Linked DNA regions of Oryctolagus cuniculus. Each later gene encodes a partner of the first gene's protein in a complex. Links are inferred from orthologs where the notes say so. Each region holds a gene or a part of one and is shown on either strand. Other genes may lie near its edges. The genes, in order: CELF1, CALR and CALR3.

Region 1 (3,644 bases):
CCCACTGAGTTACACAGAGCAATACATCCAAACAGAGAGAGAGAGAGCAGGACACTCACTGTGTGTACAGCCCTGAAATGAGGAGCGGGGCGGGGCGGGGCGGGGCAATGACAGGGAACTTCTGCACATGCTAACAATGGACACAGGGAAGAGTCAAAAAGGACATGGAGGACACCAAGAAAACATCCACTTGCCAGAGACAGAAGGGAACCTAAGGCTTGGATTTCCTGGGAAGCACCCGACACTCAGGAGAAGAGGGTCTCTGGGAGGGGGCAGGGGGAACAGCAGAAGACGCTGGCCAGGGTAGGGAGCATTCTTTTAGGGAGAGGGCCCGGATTCCTGCTTAATCCCATGGGGATGGCCCTTTGTTCCCAGAAATCCAAGCTCTTAGCTTCCACACAGGCCCTGGCCACTCATGTGGAACCCAGGAGACAGTGGTCTGGCTGCATTCAAGGCAAATCAATTTCATGATGTAACCCAAGTAAGAAACAAAACTACAGCAGAAAACACATGTAAGTGAAACCTCCACATACAGAACAGGATTGCTTAGGACTCGACTGCGAGTCTCCACTCTCGAGCTGAGTCCTTTCACACTGTGAGACTTCTAGGGGAGCAGCTTCTTCACAAAACCATCTTTGGCCTGGAGAGAGAACTGTGCTCAAGGGCAGCGCTGCTGCTGTGCTAGCTCACTGGGAGGGAGGAGAGAACAGAGGGGAGGTATGGTCTCACCAGCTGGCTGCTGGGGCAGCCCAGGACCCCTGCTGGGGCAAGTGCTCCTTTTAGAAGAGAGAAGCCCTGAGCAGGGACGAAGTCGCAGGGCCTCGGCCTCGTATCTAGGGCAGGCAGATTGCACCTATGTCTCTCAGGTCATTGGGAGAGGGTTCTCATAAGGTCCCAGAGCCCAGGACAAACAATGGCAAATTGGGGAAGGAGTGGAGGGAGGGAGAGAGGTGGGGTGGAGAGGAGTTCTGATCACGGAGGAAGACAGAACAGAAGGTCAGGGAGCACAGCACCGGCAGCACCCTGTGGAGCACAGTTCTCTCCTCTGCCAATTCACAGCATTAATGCCTTCCCCTTGGGCAGGTGAGCTGGGCTGCAAACGGGCCACAGAAAGTCAGTAGTTTCAATCATACACAGCACCCTGTGTGTACAACAATCACATTCTGGATTCTACAAAATCCTGGCCTTTTCCAGAGATATAATTTAGGTAATAAATATTCTCCACCCCGGAGCTGTATAAAACTTCTATAAAAATAGAAACGACATTCTTGGTTCCAGCCGGTTGGGATTCAGAACAGCGCCTCCCCAACCTAGCATTTTTTTCTTTTTTTGTTTTTTTGTTCTTTTTTTTTTTTTTTTTTTTGCATTTATTTAAAAAAATCCCATCATGACCCTGGAAGCCTTTAGAACAGTTTTATCCTTTGAAACACAGGACACATTTCTCCCAGTGCGCAGAATTCAAGTTTACGTGGTTCAGCTTAAGAAGTGTATGCTTCATGTTTCTTAAGAGGACACGGACCCAAGTTATCACTATGAGAAGGGACAAGCTGTCCCCCCTTCAATGGGATAATCCAACACCACCAACTACCTGTACAACACAAGACGGTCACTCCCTGTCTGTTGCCCACAGGAACAGCAAGAGGAGGAGAGCGCCCCCATCTGACTTACTAGCAAACCAACCCCTTTATTCTAATCCCTGCTGCTGGGGTCAGGACTGACACTCGTGAGGTCTGAGATTGCAGGGACCCAGGAACTCAGTCCCTGACTGCTGATAATCCTATCCTCAGAGGGCACCTCTGGCTGGGTGCACACCGCTAACTGGCATGTCCTTCCTGGCTCTCTACCCCCTACTGCATTTCTTGGAGCAGAGACAGAGCCCAGAGGCTGGGTGGGGGTCACTGGCAAGAGCTGGAGTGAGACCTGTGGGAGGCAGCAAGGAGCTAACTGTAAGCACGAGGACAAAAGAGAACATAGTAATACTGAGGTAAATGAACACTAAATCCATGTTGAGGATGTAAACGTTCTGTTGTCTCCTCTGTCCCCGAGAGCAGAATATGGGGCTGGAGTGGTTAGCAGAGGGCTTGTGAGACCTCTGTGGCAATACCATACCTGGAGCACCTCAACCAAGGAGGCAAGGGTGGGCCTCTGATTTCTCTTAAACACTAAGTTCTGGCCACTGGCAAATGCAGCGTCCTGGCTTGCAGCCACCTACGGATTCAGGTGCCCCAAGCAGCAGACTCTTGTTCTTCCAACTAAATGGCTTTAGGTCTCTCAGCCCAAGACAGGTTCCCCCTTCAGCTAGATGTAAGTGCTGTCCCTTGCTGTGGTGCCCTGCCAGGAGGGATGCCAGCCAACGTCTGCCAGAGAGGCCTTCTTTAAAAGAACCTATTGGGCATGGGCCATGGTCACATTTGGTGTTGCAATAAACTAAAAATGATCTCTTTGGCTGCTTCTCCCAAACAGCCACCAGCCAGGCAGGGCCAATCCAATGCTGGCTAGGGAAGCTGATAATGGCTTATGTCTCCCTGCTTTTTGAATATGTCAGTCTAATTTAACAGCTGCTTTATTTCCAGGGAACTGCTAACCCCTTTTCAGGGAAGAGGGGCAGAAATTCAGGCCAACAATCTGAAAGATCAGTGGCAAAAATTTGTATGTCCACAGAAGGCAGCTAGCTAGAGGCATTTCTGCCTCCAGCTGCCAGGTGTTAGGGGTCACACCATTCCCACTGTCTTCCAAAGCCAACCCACCTCTGCGGTCCCTCAGCTCTTGGATGTCAGTTCTCATCCCATCCACCCTTGCGCTCAGGGAAATTTGGGTGGTCAGTTTTTTGTTCCACTCAGTCCTCTCTCATGGGGTGGTTTGGGGCAAATTCTAATTATCTTTTAAGAACATTTCCCCATTCCCCCTCCCCCAGGGTGGTTTGGTGTTGGTCCTTCTCAACACACACTGGTTACAAACACAGCAAACTTTAAATAAAGAAAAAAAAAAAAAAAAAAAAACTCAGGATATGGCACCTAAACTCCAAAGTAAAACACTGGAAACCAAAGCACAAACTTGTCCTCTGTACGAAGCGAAACTCCCACAGAAGGCAGTAGCCGAGTCTTCAGGGCAAGCTGTGCCTGCGAGAGTGGCGGGGATCAGGGTCCGGGGCTGTCAACACACAGCCTCAGGGCTTCGAATCAATAAGGGTGCTCCTCCCCCACTTACCAGAAGACCCTCTCACTTCAGTCTCAGAGGGGAGCACGCTCAGTAGGGCTTGCTGTCATTCTTCGAACGTTTGAGCTGCACTTTAAGTCGCTTCATGCCAATCTGAAAGCCGTTCATGGACTGGATGGCAGCTTGAGCAGAAACAGGATTGTCGTAACTTACAAAACCTGTGTGTACAAGCAGCAGCCGAGGTGAGGGCATATGGTGGCAAGAAGGTGTCTGGTCTCCACTACTCAAGGGACAACTTATGTGCTTAGTTTCAAATTCCAATTTTCTCAGCAGGGCCGAGAACTCTGGAAATTGTTATCTCAGAGTCTTAATTTGACATCTACATAGCCCCTAAAGAGTCTATTTTCATTCCAGTCCTTTCTGCACTCAGCCCCTTCTCTTTCTCTCTCAGTGGTCAAATATTTAATCCCACCCTGCCACAGAAGAGA
Region 2 (4,394 bases), on another chromosome or scaffold:
GCCCACCCGGAATCCATCACAGGGCGAGCTGCTGGCACCTGGCGGCGGGGGGCTGGGGTCCCAGCCACTGCCCCACCGGGACCTGTCTGCGCGACCCTGAGTGACTCGCCATCGCCTCCCTACAAACACCTCAGCTGCTTCATGGGGGAGATGGGCACTCACTCCCTTGCTCACCAGCGGCTCAGGGACTGACTACAGGACCTACATTCAGTCCCAGCTACGTCTTTTTTTCCCTCCCTTACATACTCATTTATTTAAAAAACACAGCAAGAGAGGAAAAGGGGAGAGAGGAATCCATCCTCATCTGTGGGTGCCCCCCCACCCCCCGCAGCCAGGGGCCTGGAACCCATCCCAGGTCTCCCATGTGCGTGGCAGGGACCCAAGCACTTGGGTCATCATCTTCTGCCTCCCAGGTGCACTTGCAGGAAGCTGGATGGGAAGTCGAGCACCCAGGACTGCTCCCACTCCCGCCCCACCCGTCCTGCCCCAGCTCAACTTTCTAGCAGGTGAGCGGATGACAATGACCTTCTAGGTCAACCAGTGGACTTGGGGGGAGCACAGGGAGCAGGCCTTCTGGGGGGAGGGGGGCTTCTGCAAGGGCCCCGCAGCCACAGACCAGGACCGGAGCTTCAGGAAAGAGGTCGGGTCTACGGGTCCCTCTCCTCCTGGGTGCCCCGGAGCCCCGAGGGCCACCCCGCCATCTCACCTGCCAGAGGTCCAAGCCCAGCACGGCAAAGCTGTCGTAGGCATAGATGTTAGCGTCGGGCGAGTACTCGGGGTTGTCGATTTCGGGGTGGATCCAGGTGCCTTTGTAATCGGGGTTGTCGATCTGCCGCGGCTTCCACTCACCCTGTGTGTGTGTGTTGGGGGGTGGGGAGGATACACAGAGGGGTGAGTGGAAGCGGGCGCGCGCCCCACGGAGAGCCCCCACCTGCCCAAGACCCCGCGGCACACCTTGTACTCGGGGTTCTGAATCACCGGCGGCTCCCACTCTCCGTCCATTTCTTCGTCCCAGTCTTCGGGCTTCTTCGCGTCCGGGTCGGGGATGTGCTCGGGCTTGTCCCAGTCCTGGGGGGTCGAGACCCGTGCGTGAGGCCAGCTGAGCACACGCCCCGTGCCTGCCCGCCACACACGTCCCCCACCCGCCACACGCTATCTGCCCTGGGCCCCAGCAGCCACCTCGGGCTTGGAGTCCGTGGGGTCGTCGATCTTGGCCCGCTCGTCCCAGTCTTCGGGCTTCGAGGCATCTGGGTCCTTTATCTTCTTGGGGGGTAGGAAGTCCCAGTCATCCTCCAGGGAGCCCGACTCCACCTGGCTGTTGTCAATCTTCACCTCATACGTGTTGTCCGGCCGCACGATCAGGGTGTACAGGTGTGTGAACTCGTCGTCCTGGGGGCGGGCGGGTGGTGAGCGGGCCCCGCCCACCCGCGGCCACCGCTGCCCGGGCCACCCCTCTGGCCACACCCACGGCGGGGGGCAAGCACCTTGCAACGGATGTCCTTGTTGATCAGCACGTTCTTGCCCTTGTAGTTGAAGATGACGTGAACCTTCTTGGTGCCGGGGCCACAGATGTCAGGACCTGGGGTGGGGGAGGGGACAGGGAGTGGGCTCAGTGCCCCCACCCTCTCTCTTTCCAAAAGGGAAGACATCTCGCCCTCAAACACAATCGGCTCCAGAACTCAATGAGGAAGTCCCCGGATGTGAGCACCAGGACCTCCGCTGGCTGCAACCCAGTCCCTTAGGTGTCCCCCCCAACCCCAGGGCCGTCTGCAGGCTCTCGGGGAGCCCCGCGGGGCTGGCCGGCTCAGGGGTGCGTCTCCGCCCCTCACCAAACATGATGTTGTACTCAGAGTCCCCGTGCATGTCCTTCTGGTCCAGGCCGGCCGGAAACAGCTTCACGTAGCCGCCCCCGCAGTCAATGTTCTGCTCGTGTTTCACGGTGAACTGCACCACCAGTGGCTGGCCCTTGTTGCTGAACGGCTCGAATCGGGCCGACAGGGCGTAGAAGCGGGCGTCCTGGCTGGTCTGCAGCCCTGGGAGGGCACGGGAGCGGGCGGGGTCGGGGTCGGGGTCAGGGTCAGAGTCAGATCCCAAGGACCCTCCCTAACACACCCCCTGCACCTGCCCTGGTCCTGCGGGAGAGGCGCTAACCACTGCTCCTTCCAACAAGCCGAGCCCCACGCGACTCCCGGGCACCTCACCTTTATCTTTCTCCTGATCGCCGTAGAACTTGCCCGAACTGAGGACGAATTTGCCAAAATCGGACTTGTGTTTGGATTCGATCCAGCGCTCGGTCCACCCATCTGAGAGGAGGTGGGGGGGCGTCACAGGGGCAGGGCAGGCCGACCACCCTCTCTCCCCCCACATCCCCAGCGCCCATCCATCCAAACACCTGCCAGGAGCTGCAAGGTGTGTGCGGTGGGGGGGAGTTAGGCAGGAGCGGCGATCTCCCCCCGGGGTGTCTCGAGGCAACCTCTGGGCGAACCCCAACTCCCGCCAGGAGCGGCAACTGCGTCCCCCACACTCCCCCGGGGAGGCGAGAGGCGGATCGCCCGCGGCTCCGAGTCCCCCGGGGCCGCGCCGTGTTGGTCCTCTCGGAGCGGTAATTACAGGGCCGCGCGCACCGCGGGCCCGGGCTATGGGGGACCCGGGCGAGCCAGGGCCCCGGCGTTACCTCCGTCCAGAAACTGCTCCTTGAAGTAGACGACGGGCTCGGCGGCGGCCAGGCCGAGCAGGCCGAGCAGCAGCGGCACAGGGAGCAGCATGGCGGGCCGAGGGGGCGGCGGCTCGCGGGCCCTTTAAAACGATCCTCCGGCAGCGGCTCTGCAGTACGGACGGACGCCGCCGCCGGCTGAGGGCTTTTATACCCGCCCGCCCCCTCACACCAACCTGACCCGGCCTCTAGGCCCGCCCCGTCCACCTTATCATTGGTCTGCAGCCACCGCTCTCCCTACCCATTGGGTGACGGTCGGCCCAGCACGTCAGGTTGTGCCTCGGAACGCTGGGTTCCCAGATGGCCGATTTCTATTGGCCGCATAACCGGCCAATGACGGTCGACCACGCGTTGTGGGGGACGCCTACTGGAGGGGTGGGGGCCGCGAGCCCCCGCTCCGGGCAGGTCACGTGACTGCACCCCAGCCGGACCCCGCCCTCGGCGGCTCGCGCGCGCTTCGGGCTCCCCACGGGGCGCTTTGGAGACCGCGCGCGGGCGCAGGTGTCCGGGCGCCGGGACCCTACCCCTATCCCGACGCGTGGCGGCCTGGGCAAGGCTCTTCCGTCCCGCTGCCTGCCCTGCATGTGGGGGACCTGCGTTCAGACGTGAACTGTTTCTCCCGCCCAGCTTGGGGCCCCCCTTCCGCGGGGGCTGCACCCCGGTGCCCCTGGCACCTGTCAGCCAGCTGCTGGGTGGCCCGGGGCAAGTCGCTTCGTTTCTGAACTCTCGGTGGTGCACAAAAGCCAGGGGTGGCGACCTGGTGCAGATGCTATCTGGTAGGAAACCTCTGTCAAGTTTGTTTTTTTAAAGATTTTTTTTTTCTTTTTTACGGCTGTGCACGCGCAGAGGGGGCGGAACTGCAAGAGGGGTCAAAGAGGAGGCTGGAGGCTGTGGCTCCCCTAATGGCAGTCATGCTCTGCCGGTCGTGGAAAGGGGCTTGTAAGCCGGGGTCTGCAGCGCCCGCACCCTCCATGGGCGCCGGTTCGAGTCCCGGCTGCTCCACTTCCGATCCAGCTCCTTGCTAATGTGCTTGGAAAAGCAGTGGAAGATGGCGTGGGCACGTGGGTGACCTGGAGGAAGTGCCCGGCTCCAACCAGCAGATGGAACATGCCCCCCTACCCCGGTCTGTAATTGTGACTTGTAAATAAATAAGAAAAAAAATCAAGCGGGTCCTCCCTTCTTGTGGTCTGCCACAAACAGCCTCGCTTTTGCAATTAAACGGCCATAGGCGAGAGGGTAGGGGTAGGGGGTTCCCTTTGGGAAGGGGGGGGGAAGACACAGACGGTAGGGAAGATACGGTTCTGGGGGCGTGGGCCGGGCTCCTGGGTCTCCAGGGGCATGGGGGACCGACAATGCCTTTCCCTACCTCTCCCTTCCCTGCCCGTGGGGGAGACCCAGAAAGAGGAAGAAAGACAAGTGGGGGGGGGGACCTGGGGGCTCTACTCTTTCTCCCAAACAATAGCATCCCACCTGCTGCCCCCCCCCCCCCCCCGGAAGATGGCCAAGTCCAAGTTGACTCCCAGGCCCACTACTGACCTGCCCAAGACACGTGGGTTTGGAACTTCCTGCTGGAGGGTGGGGACTACCCATCTTGTTTCCTCCCAACTTAAAAGCTACTTGCTAGGGGGCTGGCGCTCTGGCACAGAAATCTAAGCCTCCCCCTGTGGCAAAGGCATCCCAT
Region 3 (3,055 bases), on another chromosome or scaffold:
AAAAACTCCTGATGGGTAGGTATTGGGCCTTGTGGCTCACACACCTGTGTCCACCTGAGAGGGCCTGGGTGCAGAGTCCAGCTCCAGCTCCTGACTCCTGCTTCCTGCTACTGCACACCCTGGGAAGCGGCAGTCCTGGCTCAAGTGACTGGCTCCTGCCACTCATCAGTACTTGGAAGATCTCTGTCTCCCCCTCTCTCATCTGGACTCTGCCTTTAGATAAATCAATGAACCAATCTGTTTTAAAAAACGAACCGCGGCTCTACCTCCAGGGTTCAGGTAGGGGTACCTGGCACCCAGCAAGTGCTCAGGGAACAGCATTAATGTACAAGTTCAGGCTGAAGTTCAGAGTCTAGCAAAGTTACAGTCAACGCTATGTTTTCAATGTGCTTTCTTCCCCCAAAGGTCTTGATCTTGGCACCTTGGTCCCCATGGCAGTACTGCTGAAGTGGTGGGACCTTGAAGAGGTAGGGCCCAGTGGGAGGTGGTTACATCATGGGACTTGACTCTCAGGAGTGGATTAATGCTGTCTGGGACTCTACTCTCAGGAGTGGATTAATGCTGTCTGGAGGGAATGCATCAAGAATCCTGGAAATCAGTTTGTTACCCCAGGAACAGGTGGTTCTGAAAGAGAGGTCCCTGGTGTCTCGTCTCACCACGCGCCCTCCGCTCCTGGTCCCTTAGTCCTGTCTCTCTGCTCCTGGTCCCTTAGCCCCGTCTCACCACGCGCCCTCCACTCCCGGTCCCTTAGTCCTATCTCACCACGCGCCCTCCACTCCTGGTCTCTTAGTCCTGTCCCTCTGCTCCTGGTCCCTTAGTCCCGTCTCACCACGCGCTCTCTGCTCCTGGTACCTAGCTCTCCATCTCACCACGCGCTCTCTGCTCCCCGTCCCTTAGTCCCGTCTCACCACGCGCTCTCTGCTCCCGGAGTCTTAGTCCTGTCTCTCCGCTCCTGGTCCCTGGCTCCCTGTCTCACCACGCGCCCTCTGCTCCTGGTCCCTTAGTCCCGTCTCATCACGCGCTCTCTGCTCCCGGTCCCTTAGCCCCGTCTCACCACGTGCCCTCCGCTCCTGGTCTCTTAGTCCTGTCCCTCTGCTCCTGGTCCCTTAGTCCCGTCTCACCACGCGCTCTCTGCTCCTGGTCCCTGGCTCCCCGTCTCACCACGCGCTCTCTGCTCCTGGTCCCTTAGTCCCGTCTCACCACGTGCCCTCTGCTCCCGGTCCCTTAGCCCCATCTCACCACGCGCCCTCTGCTCCTGGTCCTTTAGCCCCGTCTCACCATGCGCCCTCCGCTCCTGGTCCCTTAGTCCCGTCTCACCACACGCCCTCCGCTCCCGGTCCCTTAGTCTCGTCTCACCACGCGCTCTCCGCTCCTGGTCCCTTAGCCCCGTCTCACCACGCGCCCTCCGCTCCCGGTCCCTTAGCCCCGTCTCACCACGCGCCCTCCGCTCCCGGTCCCTTAGCCCCGTCTCACCACGCGCCCCCCGCTCCCGGTCCCTTAGCCCCGTCTCACCACGCGCTCTCTGCTCCTGGTCCCTTAGCCCCGTCTCATCACGCGCCCTCTGCTCCCGGTCTCTTAGTCCTGTCTCTCTGCTCCTGGTCCCTTAGTCCCGTCTCACCACGCGCCCTCTGCTCCTGGTCCATTAGCCCCGTCTCACCACGCGCCCTCCTCTCCTGGTCTCTTAGTCCCGTCTCACCACGCGCCCTCTGCTCCTGGTCTCTTAGTCCCGTCTCACCACGCGCTCTCTGCTTGTGCTCTTGCTATGGGACGCCATTCACCAAGCTGTGATGCAGCCAGAAGGCTCTAACCAGGGACCACACCCGCGAGGCCAGCTGATCCCGGACTTCAGCGTCAACACACGTCTTTCCACCGCATAGCCCGCCGCGTGGGTGCACTGTCCTAGCCAGAGAAAGTGGACTGAGACACCGAGTGACCTGCCAGAGCTCCAGTCCGATGGCGCCGATGTTCTCAAACTCCGAGAGGTCGTACTCCATCAGGGAGCTGGTGCCCCTCATCTTCTGGTACAGCCAGACGTGCTTGTCGATGCCCTCTGGCTTCAGGCCGTCCTGCAACGACCATGACCATGACCATGACCATGACCATGACGCTGCATGTGGTGGTCCCGGAAGGAGGGCCGGGGAGAGGGAGAGGGCAGCCCAAGGTCATCCCAGGGCATCGTGGGAAGGACGACACGGCCCTCGTGGGGGGGCGGCCCAAGGTCATCCCAGGGCATCATGGGAAGGACAGTGCAGCCCACCTGGGGGGGCAGCCCAAGGTCACCCCAGGGCATCATGGGAAGGATGGTGCAGCCCACCTGGGGGGGCAGCCCAAGGTCATCCCAGGGCATCATGGGAAGGATGGTGCAGCCCACCTGGGGGGGCAGCCCAAGGTCATCCCAGGGTATCATGGGAAGGATGGTGCAGCCCACCTGGGCGGGGCAGCCCAAGGTCATCCCAGGGCATCATGGGAAGGACGGTGCGGCCCACCTGGGGGGTGGTCCTAGGTCATCCCAGGGCATCATGGGAAGGACAGTGTGGCCCACCTGGGGGGGCAGCCCAAGGTCACCCCAGGGCATCATGGGAAGGATGGTGCAGCCCACCTGGGGGGGCAGCCCAAGGTCACCACAGGGCATCATGGGAAGGATGGTGCAGCCCACCTGGGGGGCAGCCCAAGGTCACCCCAGGGCATCATGGGAAAGAAGGTGTGGCCCACCTGGTAGGGTGGCTTCTGGAGCATCGGTGCCTGCCAGTCCCCATCCAGCTCACTGTTCCAGTCACTTGGTTCACTGGCGCCAGCGTCCAGAAAATGCTTCTCCCAGTCCTTCAAAGATGCGGAAAAGGCAAGACCAGTCAGGGTGGGGTGGGGGTGGTGGCACGGCCGGTCCCACGGCCGGTCCCCGTGACTCCGCTTCCAGTCCAGAGTCCTGCTAATGCTCCTGGGAAGGCAGTGGGTCAGATGGCTCATGCAAGTACCTGCGTCCCCTGCCACCTATGTGGGAGACCTGGGGGGGCTCCTGCTGTTGTGGGCATTTAGTGAATGAACTAGCAGATAGAAG

Evidence for each region.
Region 2: CELF1 (region 1) and CALR share a complex: the UniProt entries of both Homo sapiens proteins name them as parts of the EIF2 complex. The link is inferred for Oryctolagus cuniculus from reciprocal best matches to the Homo sapiens genes CELF1 and CALR.
Region 3: CELF1 (region 1) and CALR3 share a complex: the UniProt entries of both Homo sapiens proteins name them as parts of the EIF2 complex. The link is inferred for Oryctolagus cuniculus from reciprocal best matches to the Homo sapiens genes CELF1 and CALR3.

What each region holds. Positions count from the first base shown.
Region 1 is NC_091432.1:18,533,442-18,537,085, reverse strand, and holds part of CELF1 (CUGBP Elav-like family member 1), read right to left. Parts: intron 3,375-3,644; coding exon 3,247-3,374; 3' UTR 3,208-3,246; exon of another isoform or gene 1-3,207. UniProt on the Homo sapiens protein: RNA-binding protein implicated in the regulation of several post-transcriptional events. Involved in pre-mRNA alternative splicing, mRNA translation and stability.
Region 2 is NC_091447.1:62,399,680-62,404,073, reverse strand, and holds the start of CALR (calreticulin precursor), read right to left. Parts: upstream 2,823-4,394; 5' UTR 2,766-2,822; coding exon 2,675-2,765; intron 2,304-2,674; coding exon 2,202-2,303; intron 2,034-2,201; coding exon 1,830-2,033; intron 1,580-1,829; coding exon 1,485-1,579; intron 1,390-1,484; coding exon 1,180-1,389; intron 1,069-1,179; coding exon 955-1,068; intron 851-954; coding exon 707-850; intron 1-706. UniProt on the Homo sapiens protein: Calcium-binding chaperone that promotes folding, oligomeric assembly and quality control in the endoplasmic reticulum (ER) via the calreticulin/calnexin cycle.
Region 3 is NC_091447.1:64,868,018-64,871,072, forward strand, and holds part of CALR3 (calreticulin-3), read right to left. Parts: intron 2,821-3,055; coding exon 2,713-2,820; intron 2,067-2,712; coding exon 1,935-2,066; intron 1-1,934. UniProt on the Homo sapiens protein: During spermatogenesis, may act as a lectin-independent chaperone for specific client proteins such as ADAM3. Required for sperm fertility. CALR3 capacity for calcium-binding may be absent or much lower than that of CALR.